5 linked regions of the Daphnia pulex genome follow. The protein of the gene in region 3 binds, or shares a complex with, the protein of the main gene of each other region. Links are inferred from orthologs where the notes say so. Each region holds a gene or a part of one and is shown on either strand. Other genes may lie near its edges.

Region 1 (5,101 bases), on a different chromosome or scaffold from region 3:
ATTTATGAAGCAATAATTCCGTCCTTGGGAAATGCTTAACTTTGATTTATTTGGTATGGGACCATAGGTACGATTATTTGGTTATCAAGAGTCTAGTCTTTTTGACTTGGTAGTCAACACATTTATTAGATATTTTCCGGGTTTTCTTTATTATTGTTATACACACTCAGAAAAGAATGCGCGTTTTTGTACACACACACAAAATGAATATAAAGAATTTTCTTTGCGGTAGATGGCGTCCGAGTTTCATAATAGAAGCAGACGAGTAATGTGGGTTTTTAGTCAAGACGTCGGTTTACAAAAGTGTTGGCAAGAGGGCAAACTAATGATTATAACGCAGTGTCAATTGGTTTTCTGCAAAAATGAATCCTATTCTAGAGCCTCTGACATTCCCCGACAAACAAGTCCAAGAAGAGTCGGTTGTTTCAACTCTATGTGAATGTCTGTTTTGCTCAGAAATGTTTGATTTGAAGTCGTCAAATGATCAAATCCTTGCTCACTTCTTACTCACTCACAAATTGGTTGTTGCCGACGTCAAGGAAATTGTTGATCTTAAAAGGTTTTTATTTGCTGTTTTATTACTGCCAATTTTGACTTGTAATTTTCCCTTTTTAAATCAGATATGTGGATTACTGGAGACCAAAGTTTAGGGAATGTGATCCTAAAGCCTATTGCTTTGTCATGGAAGCAGAAAATGAAAAAGGTGAAAAGGAGGAATATTTCATGTTGGCACATGAACTCCCAGAAGATCAAAATCTGCGAGAGAAACTGCAAAAAGAGAAATTGGTTAGTGGAATAATTCATTTGTTGCTTGGCCTACTTTTAGGTTATTATTGACTGTTTTGACATTTTTGTTTACAGAACCTTGTTTTAAAACAACAACAGAAAGAAAGAAAAGATGAAGAGTTCTCACATTCTTGTCTCTTCTGTCGTAAAATTTTCACAGGAAACCGTAAAGTCCTGTTTGATCACATGAACTTTGATCATAACTTTAGTGTTGGGCTTCCAGACAACATTGTATTTGTTGAAGAATTCTTAAATTTGCTAGATGAAAAGTTAGCCCAGAACATCTGCCTATACTGCGAGAAAACATTCAAGGATAGGACTGTGTTGAAGGAGCACATGAGAAAGAAAATCCACAAGAAAATCAACCCACACAATAAGGAATATGATAAATTTTACTTGGTGAACTACCTTGAGCCTGGAAAATCATGGAAGGAAATAATGGATGAATTTGATGAATACTGCCAAAATGAAGATTGGTCTGACTGGTTTGAGCCAGAGACTGAAGCTATTTGCTTATTCTGTGATTTTCAATCAAGTGCACCAGATGTTTTATCCCAACATATTGCATCTCACAGTAACTTTGATTTTCTGGGCCTGAAAAAGAGCTTTAGTATCTATCAGCAAATTAAGATTGTCAACTACGTCAGGAGACAAGTGCATGAAAAGAAATGCATACTTTGCGATGAGCAGTTTGAATCCCGGGATAAACTGAGAGAGCACATGCAAAACTTCAGTCACTTTAAACTTCCCGATCGGGCAGTTTGGGATCAGTCACAGTAAGCCGGATACATTCAAAATTTTCTATTTGTGGATCCTATTTTATTGGATAAACTTTTAGGTACTACTTTCCAACCTATGAAAATGATGCTCTTCTTTGTTTGCTAGAAGATACCATTCCAGATGATTCTACTGAAACCGACCAAGTAAATTATATTAAGTCTGATTTTTATTAATGTAAAAACTTGTTTTCATGATTTTTCATTTAATTAGGTAACAGTGATCCCTGAAGACACCATCATAAACCTTAAAGTAGTTGAAGAAGAACTGCTTAAACTAGAGCTAATTGTAAAAAAATGAATGATTCTACAAAGCTGTAAAAAAGATTGTATTTCAAGTGATCATGATGGAATAATGCAAACTTTAATGGTGGATTTGAGCTAGTGGTTCTGCTCTTATTTCTGATAAATTGAGTCTGGAATCAAGTTCATTATCAATTTCCCCAATTAAAACTCTGAAATTACAACAAGAAATAGTTATGATTGAGTTATTTTACAGCTAATAAGTGGATGAAACATACACATTGTCTCCTCTGATGATGTGCAGTCCCAGTTGGACTTGTTCAACTCCCTGGGTAGAACTAAACACTCTCTCATGACTGTCGTCAATGATAAGGTTGATAGTCTGATCGAATCCTTTAAGAATACCCTGTAAAAAGAATACATTGAAATTATTTCAAACGGTTTATTGAGTGAGGATGATGCCTTGTGATCGGGCGTTACAACTTACAATAAAATTCCTCCCATCACTCGTGATAACACATACGGAACCTGCGAACAAGAAAGATACAATTTTTCAGTGAATAATAAACAATATAATAATTAAAACTCACGATTAACGTAAGAATCTAACGTTGATGCCATGATTTCTTCACTCGCTTCACTTTGTATTTGGCTTGTAAAAATCGTCTGCAATACAGCGTTGCCGTTTATTTTACTTTAATATCAACAAAGTATTTTCATTCATTCTATTCAGATTTAATTCATACAAACTGTAGTAAACTTATGTTTCAGTGATTAATGATTTCGATAGAGTAATATAATTTTTGTTTATGTATGGAAATTGGTTATTTGAAAAAGACTAAAGAAATCGAGAAGGGGTGCCTGAGGCTATTTTCCCGAGACGTTAATCAAATGGTTGGTGAGGAGAAGAACTCAGCAGGCTAGAGTTTTGATGAATCGTTTTCTTTGGCCATCAAATAAATTTGAAAATCAGATAGGCCCTACATTTCCATTATGCGGTATAATTCTTTATTTGGTCGGTTTTGAGGTATTAACATTAAACGAAATAATATATTAGCGTGACTAACCCCAGCCCAATTTTGTTAAATCTATTTATTTTAAATATACATGTCCATTAAATAAAGTACCGTCTGTCATTTTTAATGACATCATTTTTTACATTTGATTGCAATCAAAACGAAATATGGCATGTCACGTACACACACGCAAACGTCGTCTGCTCTTTGCAGAAAATTGCCGATTTGAAATATTTTGATGTCCGACTTTTAATGGTTGAATATTTTAGCATCGAGATATGGTGCTTTATCTGGTCAATATTCGTGCAGTTTTGAAGCGCGCAATTCCTTTAAGTGCTACTTGTTCCCATTCAAGAAGCACATGCTCAACTCCCGCAGAGACCCGCGGGATCTCTCCAAATTTAGAATTCTCTCCCGACTGCGATGAAGCGACGAGGCAAATGCTTGAGAAAGACTTTCAAGTCTACAAAGATTTCATCAGTGCTGAAGAAGAGAATAACCTATTGGAAGAGTTGGAGGTGAAGTTCAAAAGGTCCCGGTATCAGTATGACCATTGGGATGATGTAAGTCTGAAATTTCGTGTTCACGTAGGTTGTCTGACTGTTGAATGACCACCATTTGTTATTCGAAACCCAAAAGGCTATCCACGGATACAGGGAAACAGAGAAACCTACTTGGAATCAAGTCAATGACTGTGTTATAAATCGGTTGAGAGCTTTTGCCTTTTCAACTACCACGATGCAGCATGTCCATGTGCTTGATTTAGCTGAGAATGGTCACATCAAACCACATCTGGACAGCATAAAGGTATGATAGATGACAGCGTTTGGAAATTATCATTCTAATCTATTCGTATATTTCTCTAAACATAGTTTTGTGGCCCCACCATATCGGGCATATCTCTGCTCACAGCCAGTGTGATGAGGCTCATACATATACAGCGACCCCAAGTCTTGGTCACGGCACTATTACCGAGAAGATCATTGTATATAATGAAGTAATTATCTATGCAAAATAGAGCCCATCGTGATATATAACTCTATCTAAATTTCTGTCTCTCTCTTTGTTATTGCAGGGACTTTGCTAGATACGAATTTAATCACGAAATTCTGAACAATAGCGAATCCTTCTTCCGGGGAGAGAAAGTCACGAAAACTAGGCGTATCTCTGTAATCTGCCGTAGTCCACCACCGCCATCATCATAATGGATGCAGTACTGTTGTAAACACGATTTGGTAGATATGCCCAAGTAGACAGTCCTTATTTGTACTTATCGTTGATCCATACAATAGCCATTTAAGTCACTTAAGTTTTTAAAAAAGGCCAAGCTCGGGAAACATGTAGTGGGCGTGACGTGATTGGCAGCAATCGATTTTATATTCGAAAGAGAATAATAAAGAAAAATTCCGGTGGAAGAGAATATGATGGATGATGCTATCCCGAATCCATCCTCGTCACCCGACACTGATAAGACTCTTTTACGCCTCCGCAGAAAATGTGAAATGACAGACACGTTTTATTTTTTCTTCCCTTTGTTTTTCTATAGCGGAACTTTAAGTTGTTGCATTGAGACCCTCCGACGAGTTTCAGCTCAAGAGGGATGTTGAAAGCGGGCGTGAACCTTGAGACGCAATCATTCCGCTTTCTCCCTTTTTTGATTATCGTGTTCGTTTTTCTTCGGGTGGTAGTGGGGGGTTCTTATCTTGTTTTGAGACAATGTTGTATAACCTAACAAGAGTTCTTTTGGTGGCTCTCTCTCTCCTTGTGTTGCCTATCTCGCTGCTGTTGCTGCTGCTGCTGAGCTTCTTTGACGGTGAATGATATCCTCCCCTCGTCTTCTTGTTTCGCCTGGCACGTTGAGGTGCGGCTTGCGGGTTCGTCCCGCCGGGCACAGACGTGTACATATATACAAGATGATGGGAGAAAAAAAAAAGAAACTTCTTCTTGTTTTGTCAATGTGAAACCCAAATCCGGATTTTGTCGAGGAATGTGATATCGACTTTAAGAAATATCAAATAATTGGTTACAAGATTTATTAGATTTGGTCGCGGCTATTCTTGGGTGGCGTTCATTCCCTTTTAAAAATTATTTTGATGAAGAGAGACCCACACAACATGTGTCACACAAAACCAGATCATTAACGCTTCTCTGATTTCCACCGCGCGCGGTCCCAACACACCGACGTAAATTTCTCTTTTTTATTGCTTCCAATTTTGTTTTTTGAAAAAAATTGTCTCTGAATTCTTTTGAGAAAAACTTTCTGTTTGACTTTCTTTCTTT
Region 2 (5,715 bases), about 1.6 Mb from region 3:
CCTTGGCAGAGATCCACGCCAGTTGGTGCAAACTCCGCGATTCGTCCTGTTGCCCCTTGGACAACATTCAAAAATTTTGGGAGAACGACAGCCGATCCCTTTCGCTCATCAACGGATCCCGTTGGCCTCACCACGTCATGATTTGCCTCCGCATGGCCAATCGGGTGGTGGAGGCCGTCAGCCAGCACCAAGTCTCGGTCGTCCTCCAGGGTAAACAATTATTTCTTAAGGCCATCATTGAATCAATTCAATTCTATTTCATTTTATTTAAATTGCAGAGTCGGAGAGTCGAGATTTGAGCGCCGTGATCTCGTCCTTGGCCCAGTTGATTATGGATCCGCACTTCCGCACCATCAACGGGTTCCAGAGCCTCGTCCAAAAGGAGTGGGTCACGCTCGGTCACGCGTTCACCAAACGGTTCGGCCGCATCAGCGAGTACGAGAGCCAACAGTCGCCGCTGTTCCAGCTGTTCCTCGACTGCGTCTGGCAGATGCAGCACCAATTCCCCATGTCGTTTGAATTCAGCGAAACTTATCTGACGTCCCTGTGGGACTCGCTGCACAACACGGTCTTTGACACCTTCTCCTTCGACAGCGACCGCATCCGCCAGCTGATGACCCAGTCACCGCAGCCGCAGGAAGGCGGAGGAGATGGATGCCCAGTCGCTTTGATTTCACGGTCCGTCTGGGACTGGTCGTCTCAGTTCCACGATGTCGACATTGGCCTTTTTCTCAATCCGCTTTTCAGCATCACCTGTCGAGTCGCAGCTTATCGACAGCGCAAAGGAATTCCGGCGGCCAATTACCACAATGTCAACAACCTGGTCCCGCGCTGGATCCCTGGATTGGCCTCGCACAACGACGGTGGTGGCGGAGGCGGCACTCGACCCAGACGCAACAGCATTTCCGGAAGCATTTCCGCTCTGAGAGCCACCGAGTACGGGGCGGCCGAGAACAAGAAAACGGACACGCTGGGCCGCAGTTGGGGCAGCCGATTCGGTTTGGCCGCCTTACCCGAACACCACGGCGGAAATTCCGTGGGAACTCTGAGTCGGGCCGGCGGCGGTGGTAACAGCGAAGGCGGAGGAAGCGGAAGTAGCCGCTGGAAGCGAATCCGCGGGGCTCTTTTCCACAGTCACGGCCGCTCTTTCTCTCCTCACCAACAGCAGATCTCATCCATCGAGGAAGGGATGGAAATGCCGCTCATGTCCAGCAGTCACCACGATTCGTCGGCCGTCACTTACAGAGCGTCCAGGGGCATCGTCGACCTGGGAAATCATCCGCAAACTCAGCAGAGGTGGACAGTCTACGGAGCGGCCGTTTACGATCCGATTCCCAGTTACCCCATCAAACTGGAACCCAACAGTAAACCGTTGAAGCTGGACCTGGGTAAGGAGTGGGAGGAATTCAAGCCGGGCAAGGATCCAGGGCCTGACGGAGGAGACATTCCCTACCACGAACTGGACTGGCCCGTTTATTCGATGCTCCCGGTGGCCGATTCCTTCGTCGACTTCCGTCTGTGGAGTCAGTGCTACTTGCGGTGGATTCCGGTTCTCGACGTCCGCGGTGGTGGACATCCGCCCGTCTATTTCCATCACTGCGCCTTGGTCAACGACATTCTCAGTCTAGAATCGCAGCTGGACAAATTGCACCAGTGCCAGTTGCAGCACGACTTGAGTAACAATGGCGAGGCGGACATTTCTTCGTCGCCAAGTCAACGTTTCGTCACCATGAGCGACCATTCACCGGGTATCAACCGCTGTCGACTCACTTTCAATTGTTTGTTTGTTTTTTCTTAATTTTGATTTCTTATTCAGGCCAACCTGGAAGTCAGGTGACGCTGAGCAGCTTCCACCCGTTCGTCCAGCAACAAAACGATTCTGCCTTGTCATTCGGCGAGTGGGAAATTGTTCCTTCGCCCGTCATTTCCGGCTCCACACTCCGTTCGACTGGAAGTCGGGCCGTCGAAGCTGAATTCGATTCCGACTCTTTTGTCACCGATTGAGATTTGAACATCAGTTATTATCATTGCCTTTAGAATTTTCCTCTCGATTCATTTCACGTTGTCCAGTTCGTTTGACGGCCGAATGTTGTGACATTCACACAGAAAGATGAGACGGTGCCTCTCCAATTTTCCTACACTTAAAAGTACATAAATATGAATTCGACCTTCGTAGGCTCTTTTCTAATCGCCTTCTAAAAATATAATTCTGTTTTGCATTACTGCTATATAATTGCATAAAAATTGAATCATTTATTCAAATCATCGTATTATTATCATTGTCGATCCGTGTTCTTTTACCTATCCGTTTTTTTGAAGGATTTTAATAATATTATTATACTATTTCACCTTTTTCTCGTTCTTTTATTATTGGAAAATTGGGAAACAACACACAGACAAATGATCATTGGTTCAATTTAGAAAAAAAAAATCAATTATTCTGGTTGAATGAAAGGGTTGGCAATGGCTTCCATACCGTCAGCAGGGCAGATGAGAACAACAGCTGTTCCACGACAAACCACCAAGCCCAACTGTCTGGTGTCTTCTGACAACTTGAATGAATCTTCCGAATCTAGAAATACAAGACATAACAGGAATTTTAAGTCAATCTTGTTTCACATACAATTTGTGGTAGTTCTCAAGTCTTACCTCTTAGATATTCTACCGTGTTGTCCAGGACAATGTTGAGTAGAGGATCGTAACCTTTAAGTATACCAGCTGCCTCTCTGCCTCCGGTAAACTTGACTCTGATCAACTTGTCCATGTAACGGGACAAGTCCAAGATTCTTTCCTTCTTCTTCTCCTTTAAATCTGCTGGGCTACCTGTTGCCGGTGTGGATTTATCGACCTTTTGCTAAAAAGAAAGGAAATGAATAACGTTATTAGCAAAACCCAGAATGATGTAATTCTAAAGCAGTAGCCAATAAAAGCCATGAGTGACGTGACGCATTGCTATTAATTGTACCCAATTTACGACAGGCAGATCAATGTTTTTCAGACATTATTCATAGCTTAAATATATTCAGTGCTTGTCATTTCATGTCTTGGGATTATAGACCACTAATTCATTTAGTAAATTAAATACTTACGGCTGCCATTTTTGCCGTTTGGGTTTGGTGTACAGAAAACAATAGAGTCGTCTGCAATGTTGTAAAAATCAAAATCGGAATAGCGCAGCACCGGTGCCAAATATTGATTTCAATGAATATTTTAACCACTCTTTTTTTCAAATCTTTTCTTTATAATTATTTTTCCATTCATTGAATATTTTAGATGGCGTTTTTTTTTACTGTGGATTTATTGAAAGCCTCATCAGTTTGGACCGGAGATGGACTGGCAACGGTCCCACATTTGCAGGCAATATGATGAGTCAAGTTTCGATGTAACTCTGCTTGATTTGAATTCTATAAGACGAAATCAGATTACTTGATACTATTCCGACACTGTATTGGTGTTCATGAGGAGCTGGTCAATTTATTGAATGCCAACAACAAAAAGAACAATACGATATTTGATAGATTCCTATCACGATTCCCTCCACTCATCTTAGTCGTCGCGGCCTGACAATCTGAAAAGAACGATTCTTTTGATATTTCAAATTTTCTGTCTATCTACACCGAACAGTAAACGAGTTTTTTAAATGGGAAATCTTTTTTCTTCAGGTTAAAATTGAACTGATCCTGGATAGTAGCCTGCTCTGCTGTATCGTTGAGTCTGATCCTGCCAGCTGCCACTTTTGAATAATGGAATCCAATTGAGTCCAGCCAATCACTTTGTCTTGGGGTAAGTGTCAATCAAATGATCTACCATTCCTTAAGGTTAAAAACTGTAAGAGAAAAATGTTACATGTCATTAGATAGAGACTTTCATACTGTCAGCTTACAAGTTACAGCAGAGGTGGCAGATAGAGGTGTGATTCTGTATTAAAGTCAAGATCACTCTTAACGTGACAATTAAACAGGAGCAAATAAGGTTATGGCCATGTTAGAAAATCAACAATTTATGGCGATAAGGTTAAGGCTGTTTCTGATGTCGGCTGGTTTTCTGTTTGAGTTGGGCTAGTGTCGCGTTCCCGCAGCATTTTGTTGATTTCTTTAACCCACCAAAACAATGCGAAACTGGTAAGAGTCGTCACAAACTGAATGATCCAGTAAAGCCTTATTATATCCCAATCATCGCCTTTGCTCAAACTTTCCATCCACAGGATCATAAGGATCACATTCTCGCACAAGCAGACCTATGACCCCATCAAATCGATAATATAGTTAAATGCATAAATTTTTTAAATCAAGAATTGTTAACTCACCGACTGATACATGGCAGGTGAGAATCGAGGGTGTGTGGGCTCCTTTTCTCCTGCCTTTTTTGTGGGGTACAAATAAGCGAAAAGGTGGAGAAATGACAATCTCAACGAGTCCATGAAATTGTAATTTGTTTCCAAATGCCAAATGAAAATTGGGATCAAGTGGGCAAGGCAGACGGGCCAAATAATCCAGCCGTAAGCCGATGCGAACAAACTTAAGGCCATGAGTCGGCCAACTAACGTTAAAAAAGTAATTTAAAAAGGTTTTCTATTGATAAAAATGAAGTAATTTAAGTAATTTACCTATCCACAAGAAATTAGCTAAACATAGAATGGCGCTATTTGTCCAGTTTACGTCTTTAATACAATTAATTGCTGCATCATTGTTGTAGTCTATGGTGATGCCGTTTGATCGGTTGCGTTGGTTCGAATTGCCACTTTTCTTCACACCGTCCATTAAACAGATTTTTTGATCGTACGAGACCAATGTCCATGCCAAGCTGACGACAGTGAAGATTTTGAAAATCACCGAAAAAACTATTAAAATACAAGATGGATCATTTTCAATCATTTTTTCAATGGTAACAGCTGTAATTATAATATAAGAATAAGTAAAAACCTCCAAAATGGGATCCTCCTTTTAGGGCGATGTAAAGTTTGAGCAATAATTGAGGCGCAGATTCCATGAAACTGTCAAATTGGCGCAGTTGTAGTAACTCGGCATCTTCCCAAATCATAGCGCTAAAATAAATGTTCTTGGAGGCGTCGTCATTTTCAATGGCTTGTTTCGCTAGGCGGGCATATTTAATTAAATCCCAATACCTGTACGAGAGAGATTTTCAACCCCAAAATAACGTTGCATCAACTTACAATTAAGTCAAATTGAAAATTCTTTTTGGAACATATTATACTACCTCGGAATAGGACAGACCAAACCGAGGACCCACTTGCTCCACCTAGCCACATGGGATTCCTCTGGCAAACGATCACGGGGGCCACAGGTTTTGTTGTCATTGTAAAACAGGAAACTTCTAACAGTCACAATAACCGCGGAAGTTAACCAAAACCCCAAGTACCACCAATCTTTTTCTTGCTTGAAAATCAGCCAATTAACATTCCAACCAATGTGACAGACGTAAAAAATTAATGAAAGGCAGTTTGAGCAGATCAACCAATTCAAGTTGGCAATTTTAAGATTGTCTCTGCAGCGATCTTCAAACTTCTTTGAATCTTCTTGACTCGGTTCCACGGTGGGGGAAGTTGAGTGTTTTCTTTTTTTAACAACTCCCATTTTTCTGTTGTCAACACAAGTCCTCACGACCGTTTCTCTTGCACACAGCAACGCGACGAAAGGGTTATGAGTGGGCAGGTCGTGTTGCGCTGGATCAAATGGCAATTAAACGGTATTGCCA
Region 3 (6,996 bases):
ATGAGTTCCGGCGGAAGCACGGGCAACAATGCTCCTCGGTATCCGACACCAATTCAGCGACCGACTGCTCCTACAGGCAACATGCAGCAACATCCTCCACCGCCCATGCATTCTAGTGGCCCTCCCGGAGCCCCTGTAGGTGGCTTGGGAGCCCGACCTAGAGCCCCCAACCCTCATCCGGCTCGAATTCCCGGCTCGGGTTCGGCACCTGGTCATCCATCTCAGATGAAGAGCAACGCATCAAATAGTTATGCGATGACGGCAAATCAGCAACACGACAAATCGACTCCAGCTAGTAGCAGCAACGCTTCGACTACTCCGACTACGGCAACCACTTCGGCCAGCGCGGCAACGTCTTCGGCCGATGATAAGCCTCAACGGAAAGGAGGTAATAACGCGTCAGATGCTTCTACGAAGCCTGGTTCGAGTGAATCAAGCAACAAGGACAGCAGTGCTAAAGCCGACGGTTCTGTCGCTTCCGCCGCCAAGTGAATTTGAGGAGATAGTAAAAGAAAAAAAAAACTTAAAAAAAAGTGCTGTGCAAGTTTTTCGTTTGAAGGACTCGGTTTCCTGAGTGGAAGATTTCACACAGACTTTCTTTTTGCAAAGCTGACGCACGGGGAAAAAATTAAAGAGCGTAAGAAGATAACTTGTCCTTTTGTACCGGACATTTGTCGTCTTCTGCTAGCCCTGCAGCTGCCGCCCTAAACTCCCCTTTTTCCTTCTTTGATCCTTTGTACTTTTTCCCCGACTGATCACTTTTTTCTTGTTCCCGCACACACACCTCGTTTATTCGCGACAAAGCTAAAAAAAAAGGCCCACCAATTGTTTCTCCTAATTTTTTTTCGTCCTTCCAACTTTTGGCCGTTTTCCAATTTTTTGTAGCATAAAATAAAAATCACCCCACCGCTGCTCACCGCAAAAAAATAAGCTATTTGAATTCGATCGAATGCTGGTCTGATTTTTGAAGAAACTTTGTGCGAGTGTATGTAAGGGAAAAAGAGTAGCAAACGAGCGGAATTCATGAAGGACAATTTGATTGCGCGGTGTGAATCTAATTTTTCACTACGACCCTTTATTTTTTCATCCCTTCTGTCCTCTTTGGGGGTTGTCTCTTACGTGTTTGTTTCAAGATTTCTTTATTTTGCTCTGCATTCTCAAACCCACTTCTTCTCTCTTAATTAAACAAATCACTCCTTTTTCCCTGTTTTGCCACACAACATCGTTTGGAGCAAGATAAATGAAACAAAAAAAAACGAAATAAGTTGTGTATTATTGCATCTTGTGTAATCAAACATGGTTCGTTTTCCTCGCGACGTGGTGTGTTAATTTTATTCAATCCAATAAGAAGTCTCACATTAATGCTTTAGTACGAATTTGAATATTTATTTCAACTCGGGTTTTACACTTTTGACAGAAATTTCAGTTGGACATTTCAACGTCGCTTCTTTCCGTAGATTGTTCCCATATCTAAAATGTTTGAACATTTTAAATGGGACATAATAACGTTTTATTGTATTTTTTTTTCTACCTGAATGTAAGCTTCTGTGAGAGTGATCATCTGCGGAAGAATTTCTGTCACGTGCAGATCTTGCATTTCAAACCATTTTCCTGTCGCCTAATAGAAGCAATTGACTCGTGAAGTTTATTGTGATTATTGGTCAACAATAAAACGAATTTACCTTATGAAGTATGTGAACACGATAAGTTCCCTTGGTTGGTTCTCCATCATGTACAATATTGGCTAACAGATCGTATGTGGTACATCCGTGTTTGGCGCGAACATCTGCACCTAGAATATCGCCAAAATCCACACCCCTAAAAGCACATCTCAATTTTGTAACAGTCAACAAAAAATGGTGTGGTAATTTTATTTACCTGATGGGGAAGTTTATGATGGTGGGATTCTTTTCTATGAAAAACGTGTTCTTCGTGAATCTCTTGATGTTGAGAATAATGTAACGTGGCAGTTTTGTCAATTCGAATCTCTTCAAAAAATTTTCCTTGTAGGTCTTGTATTCCTTTTGCTGGACTCCATTGAATTGAGACAGCAATGCAAACAGAGATACCTGAAAAATCAACAAAAGACTCGATCTAGCTTTTAATTAATGCTACAAGCTAATTGATTTTGGCAAACCTGTGGAATGATGTTTTCGCGAAATTCATCTTTGAACAGAGGAGGGGGAGGCAAGTCGGCTGCCAGAAAAAGGAAAGGCGAATCGACAAATGTTTCGACGTATTCGGCAGTCAACATCAGTGCATCCTTTTCTGTATCAGTGGCATCGATGGGTGGGATTCGCTGAGAATGAATTTTCATTGCTCCCAAAAAAGATTTGTAGATGATTGAAGAAGTTGGCTTCTTGGTACCGTTTAATGCCAGATGCAACGCGTTTAAAAACCACGAAAGAAATTCCACTGGATCACCTGAAATATGGAAAATGAAGAATTAGCAAGGTAAAATTTTAATAACAATTCTCATAATTTAATATTACCCTGGCTTGTAATTTGGAATTTCTTTTTACTGCACAGAACGACAGCCTGGAGCATCTCGTGGGGGGAAACGTGAGCCTTAAAGTTGCGTGGATTCCAAAGCTTACGAATCAATTCACCAAAACGCTGAACTAAGATGACGTTATTGTCTCCAGGAGGACGCTTGATACCAATGTAGTTCTCTTCCCTGAGAAAGTAATCGCGTAGTGGAACAACATGAGATAAAGCCTAATACAAAAGTAAGTAAAGTTTATTATTTTAATTTATAGTTTACTACTTCATTACCTGTAGGACTACATTGCAGTAATCATTAGCTTTGATGTTATTGAGTCCAACTACTCCAGGACGGTAAAGAGTACCATCACAAGACCTAGATACTTTATCAATGACATCCAACACTGCAATATTTGCTTTTTTGAATGTTGGATTCAAGACATATTTGATATCATCGAGTGATGAATCAATGATTTCATAGTTGTCTGGCAGACAATAGAATCTTAGGGTGTGAAGGTTCAAAAAAACATGATGTCCCTCTCCCACACTGTGAAGATATGCATGTGTGCTGGGGCCTCTTCCTAGAATTCATTTGAAACAATTTAAAATATGTGAATATTGCTGTTTAACTTCAAATTTACCTTGAAAGTATTTCCCACACACCAAACATGCATAGACATTAATCCTTGTGAGCGAGACTGAACAGAGTTTTTCAAAATCAAAATCCAAAACTGTCCTGTTTATTGTGTCCAAATAAGGACACAAACGAGATTTGGCAATTGGTTCTCCTAGAATTTTTATCAGTAAAAGTTGTTACACGGATTGCACTATATTTATTATTTGGTTTTGTGGATAGTGACAACAATACTTGTTTTCACGACGGGTTCGTCTTCATCATCGAAATCTTCATGTTTGCGCTTTATATCACTCTTTTCCGTCCCCATTTTTGAAAAGATATTTACCCCAAGAGCCAAAATTGACAGCTTTTCTTATTGTTTAAGAATTAAGGAAACTCGAATGCAGAGTTACGGAAAGGATAGCAGACACATAAAACGAATGCAACGCGTTAATGCCGGTAAACGAAAAAGTAGAATTATTGTCCTGTAGATGGCGTGAACTACTTCATTCAAATCTTGTAACGCGATTCAAAATTTCGTTTGATTATCATGGTCATGCGTCAAGTAAATAATTATTTGTACAAGATGGGGCTACTATTTTTTATCGTTTGAATTACTATCCTGATAACTAACTAAAAAACCCTTATTTTGTGTCTGGTAACGCTGTTGGGTCTTGGGTGTTGTGTAATCATCTCAAAGTTTAGAGTTTGTCTCGAATTTGTTTGGATGTATTATCAGAACTCTGTTTACCTTGATTAACTTATGTCAACAGAAGTCTATATTTTGAAAGCGATATTCATGGTTCAGATAATGATGTTCAGCATAGTGTAGATTTTTTCTGCCTGGATACAAATTGCTTACTTGAACCATAAACCCGGAAACAAGCAATTTCCGGGTTTCTAAAAATCAACTAAGCAATTGGTGAATTAGAATTTCGTAATTCATTTTCAATAGAATGTTTTTTTTTGTATAAGTTCGTCCTTCGAAGGTGTACAAAAATATAATCATTGGGTAATTTTGTTTGCCCTTTGATTTTAGCACGCAATACGGATTATCAGATTAGTCAAATCAAGTTCGATGTCACAATCATAATCTTTGAAAAACCCATTTATATCACTTTCTAATCAAGAAGTGATCGATTGCCCAATCATTGATAGACCAATAATTTTTGTATAAATTGGTCGTGTGCAGTTTGCATTTTCTGTTTCTCAAAAGGACACGGTTTCTTTCTTTAACTTTAAACTGAAATTGTGTTCGTTCGTCATGAAAGTGGTTGGCATTTTCGCTTTGCTCTGCCTTTTTACCCTTTCCAATGGTTTGCTCATATTTGTTACTCGTTCCTTGATTGGGTTGATTCTAAATTTCTAACGACCATAATTTTTAATTTTGTCATTACTTTTGGTAGGTGCTGGAATTCGACGCCCCGTTTCTGGAAAAGGCGAGCCGCTTCTTCGTCTTTCCTTTCCGGCCTCTGAACATTTGATGAATCGTGCTCGAAGTGGGGAAGCAGGAAATGCCAATGAATACATGGACGAGGTATTTGTAATATAATTCAATTTCGTTCTTTGATTTACTGAATTTTGTCTTTTTAAAAACATTTTATATTTTAGGTTTTGGCTTTAGTTCGCGAGCAGATAGTCCTGCTAGGATACGACCGTATTCAGCTTCCAGATGGCGATTTTAGCTTTACGTATGACGGGAAAAATTGACAATCAACTTTATTTTTAGTAAATATGAATTTTCTGAAATTTCCTAAATAGATGGGATGCTTACCCCGGCGTAAATGGCGGTGTCTTTTTGCACGATGGCTTGGCTACTGGTTTGGAAACAATTCACCGTGTTGGGGACGCTACTCTTAGCAACACTGACACTGTCATTTTCTTTGAATCTGATTGCGGCATCAACAATGTAGGTTTCATTTATTTCCCGCTCGTAACAGAAATAAAAATTAACGGTTTTGCAAAACTTTATAGGGAGCTTTTGGTTATGCCATTAGCATTCTTTTTATGGATATCGGACCAACCGCTTCGATGACCGGAACTGCCGATTACATCAACTTCTACTTCCATGTTTGCTTTTCTCTACGTTAAATAACAATTCACATAGTAACTAATTAACTAACCATCTTTTCATTTCTACAGTCTACTATCGATATTCTCTCCGGAATTGTTGTTGTCGACGTTTTTGATTTAAAGAAAATTGGTCATATCAGCACAGATATACAAGGCTTGGGAATTTTTAATTGGCTCGCCGAAATCGTAAAAGAGAAGCTTTAACATGTTCTGCATTCTCAATTTGGTTTGATAATTTTTGAATGCCTTTATAGATTGTCGATTTTGCCCTTAACCTACTGAAGCCCTTTTTCAAGGAGCTCATAGAAGGTCCTCTTACGAACCTTATCAACGTTGTACTTCAAGCTTACAGTAGGTCCAAGTTCGATAGGAATGACTTTATTACCGCCTCTAATCAATGTTCACAACAATTTTTCCTTTTTAGTCGACTCGCTAAGAAACCCACCAACGACAATCGCCAGCCTTATTTAAGAAACTGCCAGCGCAATTTACGGTGGATAAGCTAAAGAAATACAGCCAGACAAAAAAAAGAAACATTCCCTAGCTAGTATGTAGTGAATAAATACAGGGAAATCGAAATTTGTATTCACAAACACCCGATATGGATTTCAATTACAATAGTAGTGTAGTCTTATTTGTTTTCTCTTTAACGTCACTGCATACTTTTTAAAAATATTGGTCTAGTTTGTCGTCACGATTTTAATCTTACGAAAACAGTCTATTGCATTATTATCACTAACCGGCCGTTTGGTACGTTTTCGATTCGATTGATAGACATGATTAGCTGATGGACTATTTATTGTTGGTACGCAGTTTTTGAACAGTTTCTTGTAGTTATTGCCTTGGTCTTCTTTCATCAAGAAAGTGAGATTTTCTTCCTACACCATGAAAGTAGTATATGTTCTCGCATTGCTTTGCCTCGTCGTACATTCGCACGGTATGTTTTTATTGATATTGAAACGAATTCCTATGCATGCAATTTAAACTATTTGTTATATTTTCATAGGAGCTAGTATTCGACGACCCGATTCTAAACAAGATACTCCTGTTCTCAGTCTTAAATTTCCGGCCACAGGAAAACTCTTGGCTCGAGTTCGTAGTGGAGAATTGGGAAATGCCAACGATTACATGGACGAAGTATTATTTTAAAAATTTCTTGTTAATCAAAGTTATCTCATTGTGTAAAATAATATCCATTTTTTTTTAACTCAGGTGTTGGCTTTAGTTCGCGAACAAATCGTCATCCAAGGATACGATCGCATTGCGCTTCCGGATGGTGACTTTAGCTTTACGTATGTGTTGATTTATGAATAACTTATTGCTTTGCAAATAATAATATCTCACGTGTCTTGATAAGATGGGACGAATATCCTGGAGTTACCGGAGGTGTATATTTGCACGATGGTTTAGCTACTGGTATGGAAACAATTCACCGTGTTGGGGACGCTACTCTTAGCAACACTGACACTGTCATTTTCTTTGAATCTGATTGCGGCATCAACAACGTTAGTTTGAAATTATTACCCGCTCATAAAAAAAAGGAAAATTAACAAGTTTTACAAAATATCATAGGCTGCTTTTGGTTATGCAATTAGCATTCTTTTCTTGGATATCGGACCGACCGCCTCAATGGTTGGAACTGCGGACTACATCAACTTCTACTTCCACGTATGTTTTTGCTTTCCTAAAATAAATATTTTACAAAAATTTTGAACTGATTATTTTCACACAGTCCACGATCGATATTCTTTCCGGAATCGTTGTCGTTGACGTGTTTGATTTGAAGCAAATGGGTCACATCAGTACGGAAATTACTGGTCTGG
Region 4 (6,632 bases), on a different chromosome or scaffold from region 3:
ATAATTGCTTTACGCTAAGGTTTAAGTTTTTTAAAGAAATGCTAAGTTAAAAAGAAAAAAATTCTCAAAATATACAACCCTCAACATATGCTCTGCGACTTAAGATAAGGCTGTGTCTGAAATTTTTTATGTAACCCATACCATTGAAACAGCAAAATTTTAGAAAATTATGAAAGGGAATATTAACGTTTGGAAAATTTTATGCTGTGAATTGAAAAGGGATAAAATAAATGTATAACAAATATAAGGAGGCAATGCAATAAAAAGAAGGAAAATTTAAGACATGGCTTTGTCTGTTACATGAAAAAGTTTCAGACACAGCCTTATTGTCTTAAGTCGGAGAGGCCATGTTGTTCTAGAACTAATTAGTGGTAATTGATCTTCTATTTTTTTTAACTTTAATTTCCAACTTAGCAAGACATTTCATTTTATCTATGTTTTTTACTCTTGGCACTATTTTACTTACTGTACTACGCTTTGGTTGTTTCACAGCCACTTGAAACAGAATGATCGGATGATCAGAGTGACTGTTCTCGTTGGGAAAATGCCAATTTGAAATATTGGTATTATCACCTCTGAGAGTGACGTCCACCATCGCTGTTATCTGGGGAATGTATTCTAATTTGGAAACAGGAACGTTTGCTATATTTAACTTGTTTTGGTCAGTAAATGATTCCAGACACTCACCTCTTTTATCCGTAGACTTACTATTCCATAACTTATTTTTTGCGTTAGAATCCATGCCTATTATACAGACCGCTCTAAGTCAGGACCAGTCTTTATAAGATTCAAAAAATAATCTAGACTCAGAGACGGTCGGCAATATACAGAGAAAAAGTTTAGACCAGGGTATTTGTTTAAATGGACTCCTACACAATTATTTAGGTTTTGCACTGCTATATTTACAGCCATAAGAAATTTTGTAGCCAGAATTATTGCACCAAAAGCATGTTCTTTATTTAAGTTATGATGAACCGTATAATTACTAGGAATATTTGGTATAAGTAACTCATTATTAAATTTATTGGTTATGGCGTAAGGTTCTTGAATTAACGCTATGTCAATATCTAGCTCTACTCAAACTTGACTCAGGTTTAAGGATGCTACTTTACAGTGCTGCAGATTAATCTGTAAACATGAAAGTGATTTGTTATTGTGATTCATACTTTAGGCTAAGAGTTGTCTCAGTCTATCCACCACCTTAATGTGCGCTGAACATTGAAAGTCACCCGATTTGTGTGCACCTTTGCAATTCACGCATTTCATCTTGTTGTCTGGATGGATGCAGTCTTGTGTTTTGTGCGACTCTGCGAACCGGTCACAGATTTCTGCTGCCGATTTGTTTGTGCATTTAAACGTGACATGGCCCAGTTTTTTACATTTGTAACAATACGTCACCTCAAAATCCAGTTTAGCTTTTTCTACTCTATTCTCTTTTAACTCACCTGCGGCATTTTTAACTGATATTTTCCTAGCTTGGATTACTGCTTCTTCACACTTTTTGAATGTGCCATAAATCTTTGACGTGTCCTTTCTAATTCGAGAGCGGTTTGATTCTATTAATTTTACCACGTAATATTTCATTTCTAAACTCCATCTCTTTTTTAAGAACCTCTAGATTCTCTATCCCAGTCCCGAAGACTGCTATCGGGTACTCTATTTTGCGTTCTGAAACAGATTTTAAGGACGCCTCTATTTTTCCATCCGCTTCCATTAACTGTTTAGCCTTTTTGGCATCAGCGTCGTTATTAAACTTAAACCGAGCTATATTGTCTCTCTTAGTGAAAGACTGCAGCGTCAGATACTCCGAATTACTTTTAAAGAACTCATCCATAGCATCACCGATAAAATTGCTCGTGTCCACATCCGGATCTAGCTTAGCAATGATGGTGACCGACTTCGAGGCCACTGCCGCATAGGATTTACCTAGCTGCGAGTCCATTCCACTAGGTGGCTCATTCTCCTTAGTCGGCTGCCCATCACCGAATAACCCATTCAAGAACCTATTTGCAATTTTAACCTTGATGCTGGTTAGCTCACTTTCTATCTCTTTAGTATGACTGATAATGCACTCTTTCTCTTGAATGAGCGTCTCTCTTTCCTCTTTTAAATCCTTTATTAGTATATTATCATGTCTTCTCTCGACATGTCGGTCAGAGAATTCTGGCTATTGTTCTGTACACTAAGTGTACGTTTCCGTTTCTCACCATTGGTGCCACCAATACTTGATCTAGGTCTAGAGTACATTATTTTACACACCTCAGAGCAATAAAGATGATTTCCCTGCCATACTCCCTCCTATACGACGGAAATTCCGTCGTATAGGGGGTATATATTACACGAGCGAAGAAAGGCAACTTGCGTCACTTATTGATCAAGAAAAACTGAAGGTATATTTTTTAAAATAATTTAATGTCGTAGTGAATAGTGATCTAGTAACCACTACTTTGCCATTCATTTAGGCTATCAAACGACCAGTTGGAATAGCTTTTATAACCTTCGCCTCAAACATTCAAGCAGCGAGGGTAAGCCAAGATCATAGGCCCAATTGGCGATGTGGATCAATCCCAGAAAGCTCGAGCCTGATTGTTATCTTTAAGCCTCACCGTTGGTCCGTTGATTTTGCTCCACGTCCAGATGAGATCAATTGGTAACTAGATTAAATTAATTAAGGTTAATTCAAGTTCTATAATTATCCTCTGTCGTATAGGAGGGAGTATAGGATTAGTCAAGCATAAAATAATTTCTAGTTCGGCTATACGCCACAGTGGTACGCATTGGCGTAAGCTTCGCACGACTTTTGGCTATGTCGCGTACTTTTGAATTGCAATAAGATCTATTCGGCTGCGTCAATAGTCAATACAATACGTGTTACTGATGTATCGCGAATAACGTTCAGGATCAGCGCAGTGTTAATGGTTTATTTTACGTTACGTTTTTACGGGTTTATACGTTAATGGATTATTGGTCCTGATTGATCTTGTCCATTCGGAACCGTTCCGAACACAGCCGCCTATTTTATAACATTTCCCAACACACCCGCTGTGGCGCGGTGTAAAGGATTGGCCGATCGCACGATAGATGGTGTTTCTGCTTCATAAATCTTTGATCTTTGATTTCCATTTTCCAACCACTTAAAACCTAGGAGAAACCTTTTTCTTAATTATTAATTGGAACATATCGAGAACAATAATATTAAATCAATTATGGTAACTATTGAGTTTTGTGCTTCATACCGAATCATCGAAGATTAATTTAATTATTTATTTATCTAGTTACCTTTGTCGCTACTACGTACAGCCCAGAATCATCCCATGGTAAGCATTTTTTACTTTTGTTATTTACAGCAATAAAACTAGTGTTTCAATATTTACAGTTAGTGGAATTGAAAAATGGGGAGACTTACAATGGCCACTTGGTGAGTTGTGATAACTGGATGAACATCAATCTACGAGAAGTAATTTGCACCTCCAAGGTAAAGTACTTTCATTTAAGATAGTTCCGTCATCTGTATCTGTCAGTGATATTCTTGAATACGATCATAAGGTTTTACATATAATATTTAATGAACAAAAATACAATTTCTTTAGGATGGTGACAGATTTTGGAGAATGCCTGAGTGTTACATTAGAGGCAGTACCATCAAATATCTTCGAATTCCAGATGAAGTCATTGATATGGTTAAGGAAGAAGTAGTTGCAAAAGGTCGTGGTCGCAGTGATGGTAAAGGAAGAGGTGGAGCCCAAAGAGGAGGCAGAGGTGGTAGTAGAGGTATGTTTTAAATGCCAAAATTTTCTCACTCATTATCAATTAAGTTAATGGGGTATACAAAACAATTTTATTCGTAGTCTTAATATTGTTTTAGTCATGAATATTATTGAACAAGTACCAAGTTATAACAGTATTATACAAAATTTTCTGATAATGGTCCAATGGGATAAATATAGTACAATCACTTAATGCTCAAATGATTGTACAATAACTAATGTATGTTTGACTTCTTGTTAATCTCATTATTCTAGAATCATGTTCAGTATATCGTAGCTTTATTTTTAAATTACGTCGTTTCGTGTCATTTGACGAATGAATAGCTAAACATCCTATCTGCACATTCAGGAATGCCTGCTCTTATGGTTTAAAAATGAAATCTATCTACTATGTAGAGGTTTATAATTTGTTTTTTATTGATTATTATTTCAAGAGGTACATGCCGCGTCTCTTACTTGAATACTGATAATAAATTAATTTTAATATTAATTAAAAATAGGAATTTATAAAATTAATTATTTAATCTTTTCACGTTTTTTTATATTTTATTTTAACCTTCCAAAAAAAGTTTACAGTTTAATGAAGTATAGTACTACCTAGGTAATGTTTCTCAGTCGTGTACATTATTATAACTTACATTATTTCCTTTTACTAAGCGTTAGCTTATCGCAGCTACACGAATGTGCGTCAAACTCAAATTAATAGTTAATGATTGATTGAATCGATGGGATTATTTTAATTTTATTATTTAATATTTTTATTTTAAAACATATAGGCTTCGTTGACGTATAATATGGAGCATGCATATTCCTATTGATATGATATAAAATTATTCTTGTGTTGACCATCAGGTTCTTTTGGTGCTTCAAGAGGTCGAGGCGCGCCGTCGGGACGAGGTGGTGGTGGTGGTGGTGGCAATAATAAACCCCGTGGAAAGTAAATAAACTTGTCAGAATGAATGTATGAAAATAAAAATATGGCCAAGTCTTGATTTATTCGAGACGCTTTCTGTTTTGATAAAAAGATGGAAGCACTTATCTCATTCTTTCTCTTCACATTAATTTTACATGCTTAAAATAAGCCCATAAAACCTTTAGGCTGAAATACACCAAGAAACTGAAATATTTAGAAGAGAAGAAGCCCTTGTGGACTTGTAATAACACGCTGCACCTTCAGCTGTTTTGCTGCATATTTCATAAGTCAGTAGGTGCGGCGTAGTAAGAGTGGATGTGTCGGATCGTTCGTTGCCAACTGGCAAAGCGACAGCGAAAATCGTTGTTAGCACAGAAGATTCAGATGCCCATTTTTAATAACGAATGAAAACAAATGTTTTGTTTTTGCAGAAAGTTCGGCGCGCTTAATAAATGTCAAATGTGTATACATATTTTGAAGCATGAAAGTTTTTCGTTTGTTATAGATACTTTCTGCGTTATAGATACTTTGAACTTGAATGCTCACCAAATTCAGTACAAAAGCAAAAGCCATACCACTAATTTTAGAGCGACACCATAATACATCTTCCATTTTCTCGCTCAGTTGCATTCGAACGTAAAATACAATTAGCTCGTAATTACGATTTAGTTCTTAATTATTTGTCAGACGTTTGCAATAGTAAATTCGCCTTGCGTATCCGGAGAAGAAAAAAAATATATAACAATAGATAACCGATGGAAGAGAGATCTCTTGCTGCTAAGGAATCTACGGGGTGATAGACACACGAGAAAACCCAGGAGATGCAATTAGTTCTCCAATCTCCATTTCTCTCCTGTGCCTATGCACGGATACAACAGCAACGAGATGCCCGGAGCCAGCCAGCGCAGCCCCTGCTGTTCGCGCAGCCAAGCCCAACTTGGGCTTTCATCTCTCTTCGTTTTCGACATTTTCTTTCTTTCCTCCCTCACTCTCTCTTTCTTGTCCCTCCCTACCTTGAACCGAACCAGCAATTGACTCTTGTTTTAAGGGCCAAACACATTTTAACTTTGCCAGTCCTAAACCCACAGGAAACTCCCTGACGAAAAGAATGGCTAATATAGAACAGTTAATTGATCTCACAATAAAGTCATTTTCTTCTACTATACCATCTATTCAAGGCCTATTTATTATGTTCACCTTGAAGGAGAGTATTTATATGCGACGTTGTCAGACTCGAGTAGGGGTGAAAAGTGTTAATCATTAACCTTGAATTACACCAAAAAAGGAACCAGTTACTATAAATTAAATCGACGCATAACATTCAAAAGCGCCATTCAAGCAAAGGGCCTCGATAATAAATTAAATGTTGTTTTTCCGAGGCATAGTCAAGTTGCGTTCTTCCACTAGGCGATACCCGGCGATACCCTCTAGTAAAGGGCAACATCCTCTCTTCTGACTTGATATGGGGACAAAATCATGACACTAGAAACTCGTGAATAGAGCGTTAGTCGAAATCCTTCGCTAAAGACCTTTTATTGAATGGAGAAAAAAAGTTTAGTGAATAGCTTCAAGGAATTTTCGTAGAAGCGCCTTTTTCTAAGTCGTACGGAAGGGTGAAAAAGCTATAAGCCCCTATGAAAAAAGGCCTATTCCAGTGCGAGGGGATTTCAGTTGGAAAATAGAAACGAAATGAAACGATGGGGAAACGAAGGGCTTGAAGCTGCTGCTGCTGTCTGGGGGTCTGCTGGTTTAGTGAGGGGGAAACAGATGCGAAGGGGAAGAGAACGTTACAAATAGGAGAGAGGGAAAAATAGGCCTCCCTTGTAAAAAATGAAAAAAAGTTCCGACTTTTGACGCCCAGTCAATAGATTTACTACGATGCTTTCTTTTTTTCGAGCTTTTCGTCTTTCCTACTTCTCAAATTCTCCCCCAAGAGATTGTAAAGAAAATGA
Region 5 (5,203 bases), on a different chromosome or scaffold from region 3:
GCTAAGAAACAAATAAGGATATAAACTTACAATACGCGGGTAAGGGACTCGTCCGAAAGAGTAGATTTCCCACAGGAGAATCCCAAAACTCCACATATCCGACTTGTTGGAAAATTTCTGTGATAAATATGTGGAATGTTAATGACGAAATACGTGGTGAACGAAACCACAAATGTGACGATTAGAAAATGCTGTTACAACATTCCATTCTATTTTGAGATAGAAAGTTGGAAACTAGACAAAAATTTCTTTAACAATTTTGAACGTATCTGTAGTTGTAGCCCTGTGTGTAACTATTTGATGAATCTTCCTAGTTTGTTAAAAACAAAGGTAAAAAAATCTTCCTAGTTTGTTAAAAACTGAAAAAAAACTAAGTACTTCTGCAAAAGGTTTCTTTACAGCATTTAAATCATTGGGCATTAACTGAGAAATATTTGAATTAGATAACCCATCTCAATAAGCAAATTCGAATGGAAACTATACTTACACTATGTCTCAATGCCTCTGGTGCTGTCCATTTGATGGGGAACTTGCCTCCCTCTTGATTGTATATTTCTTCGCGAGCCAATCCAAAATCACAAACTTTAGCATCTCCGGTCTCAGCGACCAAGACGTTTCGGGCCGCCAAGTCTCGATGAACAACTTTTTTCGATTCAAGATATTCCATTCCTGAACAGGTATCACTACGGAGGTATAAATGAATAAATGAGGTTCGTATAACAATACGACAAGAAAGTAATATTACTAGGCAAATTTGATTTGATCTCGTTTGGTGACATGTAACCGGCCTCTTGAGCGAAGGTAATCTACTAAACTTCCTTTACTCATAAATTCTGTGACCAGGTAGAGGTGCTGATGCTGATCGTTGAACACCAAGCCAAGTAGTTGAACTAGATTCGGGTGACGTAAAGATCTATATCCCAGAATTGAAGATGTTATTATTTAAGGAAAATTTGTAAAATGTTTCCTACTTACGTCATTACTGATGCTTCAGCAAGAAATTTTTGTGCTGCTTTGCTTGAATCTTTCAATATTTTAACAGCTACTTTTTCTCCTTTAAAAGAACCTAGCATCACATCACCAAATTCTCCTTTCCCTATTGACTCCTTAAGCTATTTAAAGGGGAAAACTAATTTAGTGAAAACTGGCTAATGTTTGAGGTGTTTTTTTCTTCTTTTACTTGGAGATCTTTTTCTTGAATGATCCAGCCTGCTTCCTCAAAGTCCTTTCGATCAACACAGAAGTCCGTTTTGCCCTGTTTAGCAACACTCCTCTCAAGACGGGTACAAAGTCCATCTGCATCCTTTTCATAATGCTAAATATTGTTCAAAAGAAAAATCAATATTAGCCATTCAGATAGTCATAAACCTAAAACTTCCTAGTTTTAATTAATAAAAGCAGAATAGAGCTTACTTCAACAAGCTCTGCCAAGGTAGAAAAGAACTCCTCTTCATCAATGGTCAGTTTGTTATCTTTGTATATGACTCTGTAATGTTGAACCTCCCCTTGATAACTGACACAGAGAGTGTAGTCTCCAGGATAATTGGTAGACTCACGAACCAAGAAAAGACCATCTTCTCTTGGTTGTAGCAGGTTTTCTGCTTGTTCCCTTGAAATTTTCCCATGGAACCAGCTGAAAAAGAAAAACAAGCATAGTTAATGATCAACAGCATGATATTGAATGATGGTAATGGGAAAGGCTGTGACACTTACGGCATTGCATGAAGTTTTACTTCTAGTTTCTTGTTCATTTCGTTGTTTGAAGGCATTCACTAAGAGTAGTTCAATTTCACACTTATACCTTTAAAGGAAGATAAAACCGTTTCAGACACACCTCAAAGGCAACAAAAATATACAGTGGTGCACACGGAGTTCAATAAGTACAAGTTCGTTGTTGGACGGCCACCGGCTGTAAACACCTGTTATCCTCTTCACTTTATGGTACTTTCATGGGGATCAGCACATTCATAAGTAAAAAGTTTTGATGTCTTCACTTAGGGGTATATGACACATTGTTCTAACCGAGCTATTGAAACGGTTACATTCATTTAATCTGACGGGGCGAAACAAGAAACAGGCAGGAAACAGACTGCCGCCATAGTGTCGAGCACCTAGTGGCTTAAGTTTAAACTAAATGGACATGTCACTCTATCTCGAGTTCTTTTTGGGAAGTATTCGTTACCTGCTAATAACTACGTACGGTATACGTAAAATATAAAATAATTGAAATAAATTTTCATGGTAAGTTAAATCACTGTTCGGAAACCTAACCGTAAGTAATATAATGTAATTGTTGTAACGATTGTTGTACGATGTGTTTACTTGATGGTCAATTTATGAGACAAACAATTTATGAAAATGGGGATTCAAAAGTGTCATCATTTATTAGTTTTTAATCCAGTGTCATTTAATTGAACAACACAGTTAATAGCGATATTTGGTAGAATAATCTTTCGGTGAAACAACCAAACCTCGACCTTTTCTGGCTCCACGATAGACTGTTTCCACAATGTCAATCATTTCTTGTTTATCTTCTATTGCCCAGTTGATTTTATTGTTGTTACCAGTGCCTAAATCTATCATAATGTGTTTGTTACGGAAGAAAAACATGTTTGTGCAAGGATCATACAACTCGTACCTATATAGAAAAACAGTGAAAATCATTATTGGGATTCATTCATACAATGTAAATATGAAATTACATCTTATTGAAGTCAGGAACTTGGGTGATATCCACTAAATAGATGACAGCAAAGTTCTTGACTTTCTCTGCAATTTGATAAAGCACTTCATCCATTTTCATGCAAGTTGGGTCCCAATCATGACCAAAACGAATAACCTGTAGTAAAGCATGTTTAAATTGATAGTAATATTAACTAGAGAAAGTTTGATTTACCACTAAACGGTCCTCTTCTGAAAGAATTGCTTGATCTACTTGCCAACCATTAACAAGATGCTGTAACATGTAAGACATATTGTTTGATTGATAAAGGTCGTGAAAAAAGAAAAAGCTGAACAGTGCTTAGAAATAGATCTCGCTTCACGTTTTCAAACCTTTCCTTTCAGAAACCCGAAAAAGGTAAATAATGCGTCTGTCAACTTCACGAGTAACACGACATCTGTGTGTGAAATTTTCATCCACTTTCTTTACAAATTCATTCCCAACTCCCAAGGAATATAAACATATTTAACAGTATAAAAATGTGTATAGTTAACTATAAAATATTTAAAGTTTTACTAATAAAACATTTTAAAAGTAAAATAAAATTTATTTCTAATAAGGGATTATTCTTAAGATCTGGCAAGTGGCAATACTTTCGAATTCCCCCCCTGGCCCCCTTCCTCTTATCATTTGTTTTCAATTTTTCGTTCAGACTTCATGGCACGGGGTCGCCTTCAGAAACCCGAAAAACCAGTTGTGCTTTTACGTAAAATCAAATCTCTTTTTACATAACCTGTTGAAAACCGACTATGCTTTCAATCTAAACGAATTAATAACTCAGCCATTCCTTCAAGATAGCCAATAGTCTCAACACCGGCCATGATCACAATAAGCATTGTTATTACCATCTTTATTTTGTTGAGCATGAGTTCCATTCTTGGTATTCTTGTGTTTGTTGTTGATACTAAGTGGATACCAAAGATTATAATTGATCTCTACTCTTATGGGAAAAGTTGTGAAGGTAAGGTATTTGGCAGTTCAATCAGAACTATCCTTATTCCGAAGAGGTATTAAAGTTACTACTGCTGATTCCTTTACAATTAAAATTAAAAATTTATTTTAATCTGCTAAATTAAGTTGGTTTACACACTTTTATGTGTTTGGAGTATTCTATACATTCCTGGTTCTCATAACAATGATGTGGAAGATTGTGTTGAAGAATCAATTATCTACGCTTGTAACCTCATACATTAGTTTTGTATCACCATACACTCACAATCCTTTAGGTAACTGAACAATTTTAACAAAATTTTATTCATTCTGTATTGTTAAAATATTGTCTATTTATAAAGCTAGCCCTGAGTTATCACTATTAGCTGCTGTACTTTTTTTCCTGCAAACATCCAGGAGGTTGTATGAATGTTTGTGTGTCACTGTTTTTGCTGATTCAAAAATGAACCTTGGCCATTATTTAGTTGGCTATCTACATTATTGGGGGTGTGCCACTGTCATACTTTCATACTCAGCTGACTATTCCAGTACAAATGGTAGGTGTTACCAACACAATATTTTCCCATTACATGATAATCTTTTCTTTAATTTATTGTTGAACAATCTAGATTTTGTATGGATACCAAATAGCAATGATATCCCTTTACAACCCATTTTTGGCATAATTTTGTTTACTCTTGCCTACTATCATCAATATATTGCACATGTATCCTTAGCAAATTTAAGGAAAGGTAAAGAATTTTTTTGATTCAAACTTATAATTCAGTGAAAGTTTCATTTATTTTTAGATCCAAAAAATAAGCAAAAACATAGTCTTCCTCAAAACGGACTTTTTAACTATGTCTCCTGTCCAAATTTTCTCTGTGAAATCATTATTTATGTCTCTCTATACATTATACTGGGCTTTAATCATTATCCCTGGGCACTGATAACATTTTGGGTTTTAACAAACCAGGTATGTTTGATAAAATTTTCTCAGAAATTGTTGCTTAACCATGTAAATCTGGTTAATTTTTATCTTTTCATACTTGCAGATCATGACTGCTACCATGACCCATAATTGGTATAAATCCAAATTCAAGGAATTTCCTAAAACAAGAAAAGCAATTATTCCTTTCATTTACTGATTACTTTGGAAAACGACGTCAAAAATTACAATTCCTTTAAGGCATAATGCATTTTTTTTCCTATGATTAAAAAAAATGTTAATTAAGTACCGTAGTGATTGTTGTAATAATAAGGCAATTCCAGAGTCAAGGTACAATTGAGCGAATATTGGCTGCTTTTAATTACACGGCATGTCGATTCCGAAAAGATCGCAACCTGGTCTCTGATAGCGCGCCAGTACGTTCCCTACCACACGGTCCATTTGTGATTTTTCATCAGCCCGGTCGAATTTTGTAGCCGGTGACGATAAAGAAAGTCTATAACTCAAATCCCAGACAACTTATCTTTATCATGTTCTTGCTTTCTGATTCTTCTTTCTGCATAAAAAATCTACGTAAAAAGACAGTCTACCGAAACCGGTGC

Evidence for each region.
Region 1: U4/U6.U5 tri-snRNP-associated protein 2-like (region 3) and U6 snRNA-associated Sm-like protein LSm8 share a complex: the UniProt entries of both Homo sapiens proteins name them as parts of the U4/U6-U5 tri-snRNP complex. The link is inferred for Daphnia pulex from reciprocal best matches to the Homo sapiens genes USP39 and LSM8.
Region 2: U4/U6.U5 tri-snRNP-associated protein 2-like (region 3) and U6 snRNA-associated Sm-like protein LSm7 share a complex: the UniProt entries of both Homo sapiens proteins name them as parts of the U4/U6-U5 tri-snRNP complex. The link is inferred for Daphnia pulex from reciprocal best matches to the Homo sapiens genes USP39 and LSM7.
Region 4: U4/U6.U5 tri-snRNP-associated protein 2-like (region 3) and U6 snRNA-associated Sm-like protein LSm4 share a complex: the UniProt entries of both Homo sapiens proteins name them as parts of the U4/U6-U5 tri-snRNP complex. The link is inferred for Daphnia pulex from reciprocal best matches to the Homo sapiens genes USP39 and LSM4.
Region 5: U4/U6.U5 tri-snRNP-associated protein 2-like (region 3) and thioredoxin-like protein 4A share a complex: the UniProt entries of both Homo sapiens proteins name them as parts of the U4/U6-U5 tri-snRNP complex. The link is inferred for Daphnia pulex from reciprocal best matches to the Homo sapiens genes USP39 and TXNL4A.

What each region holds. Positions count from the first base shown.
Region 1 is NC_060019.1:329,882-334,982, reverse strand, and holds U6 snRNA-associated Sm-like protein LSm8, read right to left. Parts: upstream 2,506-5,101; 5' UTR 2,427-2,505; coding exon 2,396-2,426; intron 2,334-2,395; coding exon 2,293-2,333; intron 2,212-2,292; coding exon 2,084-2,211; exon of another isoform or gene 2,018-2,083; coding exon 1,927-2,017; 3' UTR 1,875-1,926; downstream 1-1,874. Other genes in the region: aminoacylase-1-like, read left to right, coding at 1-39; zinc finger protein 277-like, read left to right, coding at 363-559, 621-786, 862-1,562, 1,625-1,709, 1,777-1,863; alpha-ketoglutarate-dependent dioxygenase alkB homolog 7, mitochondrial-like, read left to right, coding at 3,100-3,384, 3,461-3,628, 3,694-3,818, 3,897-4,026. UniProt on the Homo sapiens protein: Plays a role in pre-mRNA splicing as component of the U4/U6-U5 tri-snRNP complex that is involved in spliceosome assembly, and as component of the precatalytic spliceosome (spliceosome B complex).
Region 2 is NC_060025.1:133,301-139,015, forward strand, and holds U6 snRNA-associated Sm-like protein LSm7, read right to left. Parts: upstream 3,189-5,715; 5' UTR 3,099-3,188; coding exon 3,090-3,098; intron 2,855-3,089; coding exon 2,650-2,854; intron 2,573-2,649; coding exon 2,436-2,572; 3' UTR 2,069-2,435; downstream 1-2,068. Other genes in the region: myotubularin-related protein 10-B-like, read left to right, coding at 1-210, 279-1,748, 1,817-2,004; XK-related protein 7-like, read right to left, coding at 4,001-4,237, 4,307-4,539, 4,607-4,840, 4,923-5,125, 5,218-5,594. UniProt on the Homo sapiens protein: Plays a role in pre-mRNA splicing as component of the U4/U6-U5 tri-snRNP complex that is involved in spliceosome assembly, and as component of the precatalytic spliceosome (spliceosome B complex).
Region 3 is NC_060025.1:1,777,041-1,784,036, reverse strand, and holds U4/U6.U5 tri-snRNP-associated protein 2-like, read right to left. Parts: upstream 3,560-6,996; 5' UTR 3,429-3,559; coding exon 3,353-3,428; intron 3,273-3,352; coding exon 3,126-3,272; intron 3,066-3,125; coding exon 2,776-3,065; intron 2,719-2,775; coding exon 2,493-2,718; intron 2,425-2,492; coding exon 2,138-2,424; intron 2,070-2,137; coding exon 1,879-2,069; intron 1,819-1,878; coding exon 1,683-1,818; intron 1,619-1,682; coding exon 1,532-1,618; intron 1,471-1,531; coding exon 1,423-1,470; 3' UTR 1,366-1,422; downstream 1-1,365. Other genes in the region: protein PRRC2C-like, read left to right, coding at 1-492; uncharacterized protein LOC124202306, read left to right, coding at 4,365-4,416, 4,507-4,637, 4,712-4,791, 4,862-5,009, 5,075-5,170, 5,243-5,359, 5,428-5,524, 5,598-5,644; uncharacterized protein LOC124202305, read left to right, coding at 6,059-6,110, 6,180-6,310, 6,386-6,465, 6,531-6,678, 6,746-6,841, 6,906-6,996.
Region 4 is NC_060026.1:5,480,836-5,487,467, reverse strand, and holds U6 snRNA-associated Sm-like protein LSm4, read left to right. Parts: upstream 1-3,061; 5' UTR 3,062-3,206; coding exon 3,207-3,209; intron 3,210-3,275; coding exon 3,276-3,317; intron 3,318-3,376; coding exon 3,377-3,475; intron 3,476-3,590; coding exon 3,591-3,771; intron 3,772-4,619; coding exon 4,620-4,708; 3' UTR 4,709-4,890; downstream 4,891-6,632. UniProt on the Homo sapiens protein: Plays a role in pre-mRNA splicing as component of the U4/U6-U5 tri-snRNP complex that is involved in spliceosome assembly, and as component of the precatalytic spliceosome (spliceosome B complex).
Region 5 is NC_060018.1:1,946,771-1,951,973, reverse strand, and holds thioredoxin-like protein 4A, read right to left. Parts: upstream 3,107-5,203; 5' UTR 2,975-3,106; coding exon 2,897-2,974; intron 2,840-2,896; coding exon 2,703-2,839; intron 2,639-2,702; coding exon 2,425-2,638; 3' UTR 2,360-2,424; downstream 1-2,359. Other genes in the region: tyrosine-protein kinase CSK-like, read right to left, coding at 31-117, 488-683, 746-913, 976-1,112, 1,181-1,315, 1,414-1,633, 1,714-1,769; polyprenol reductase-like, read left to right, coding at 3,542-3,729, 3,800-3,948, 4,015-4,209, 4,282-4,404, 4,462-4,628, 4,708-4,800. UniProt on the Homo sapiens protein: Plays a role in pre-mRNA splicing as component of the U5 snRNP and U4/U6-U5 tri-snRNP complexes that are involved in spliceosome assembly, and as component of the precatalytic spliceosome (spliceosome B complex).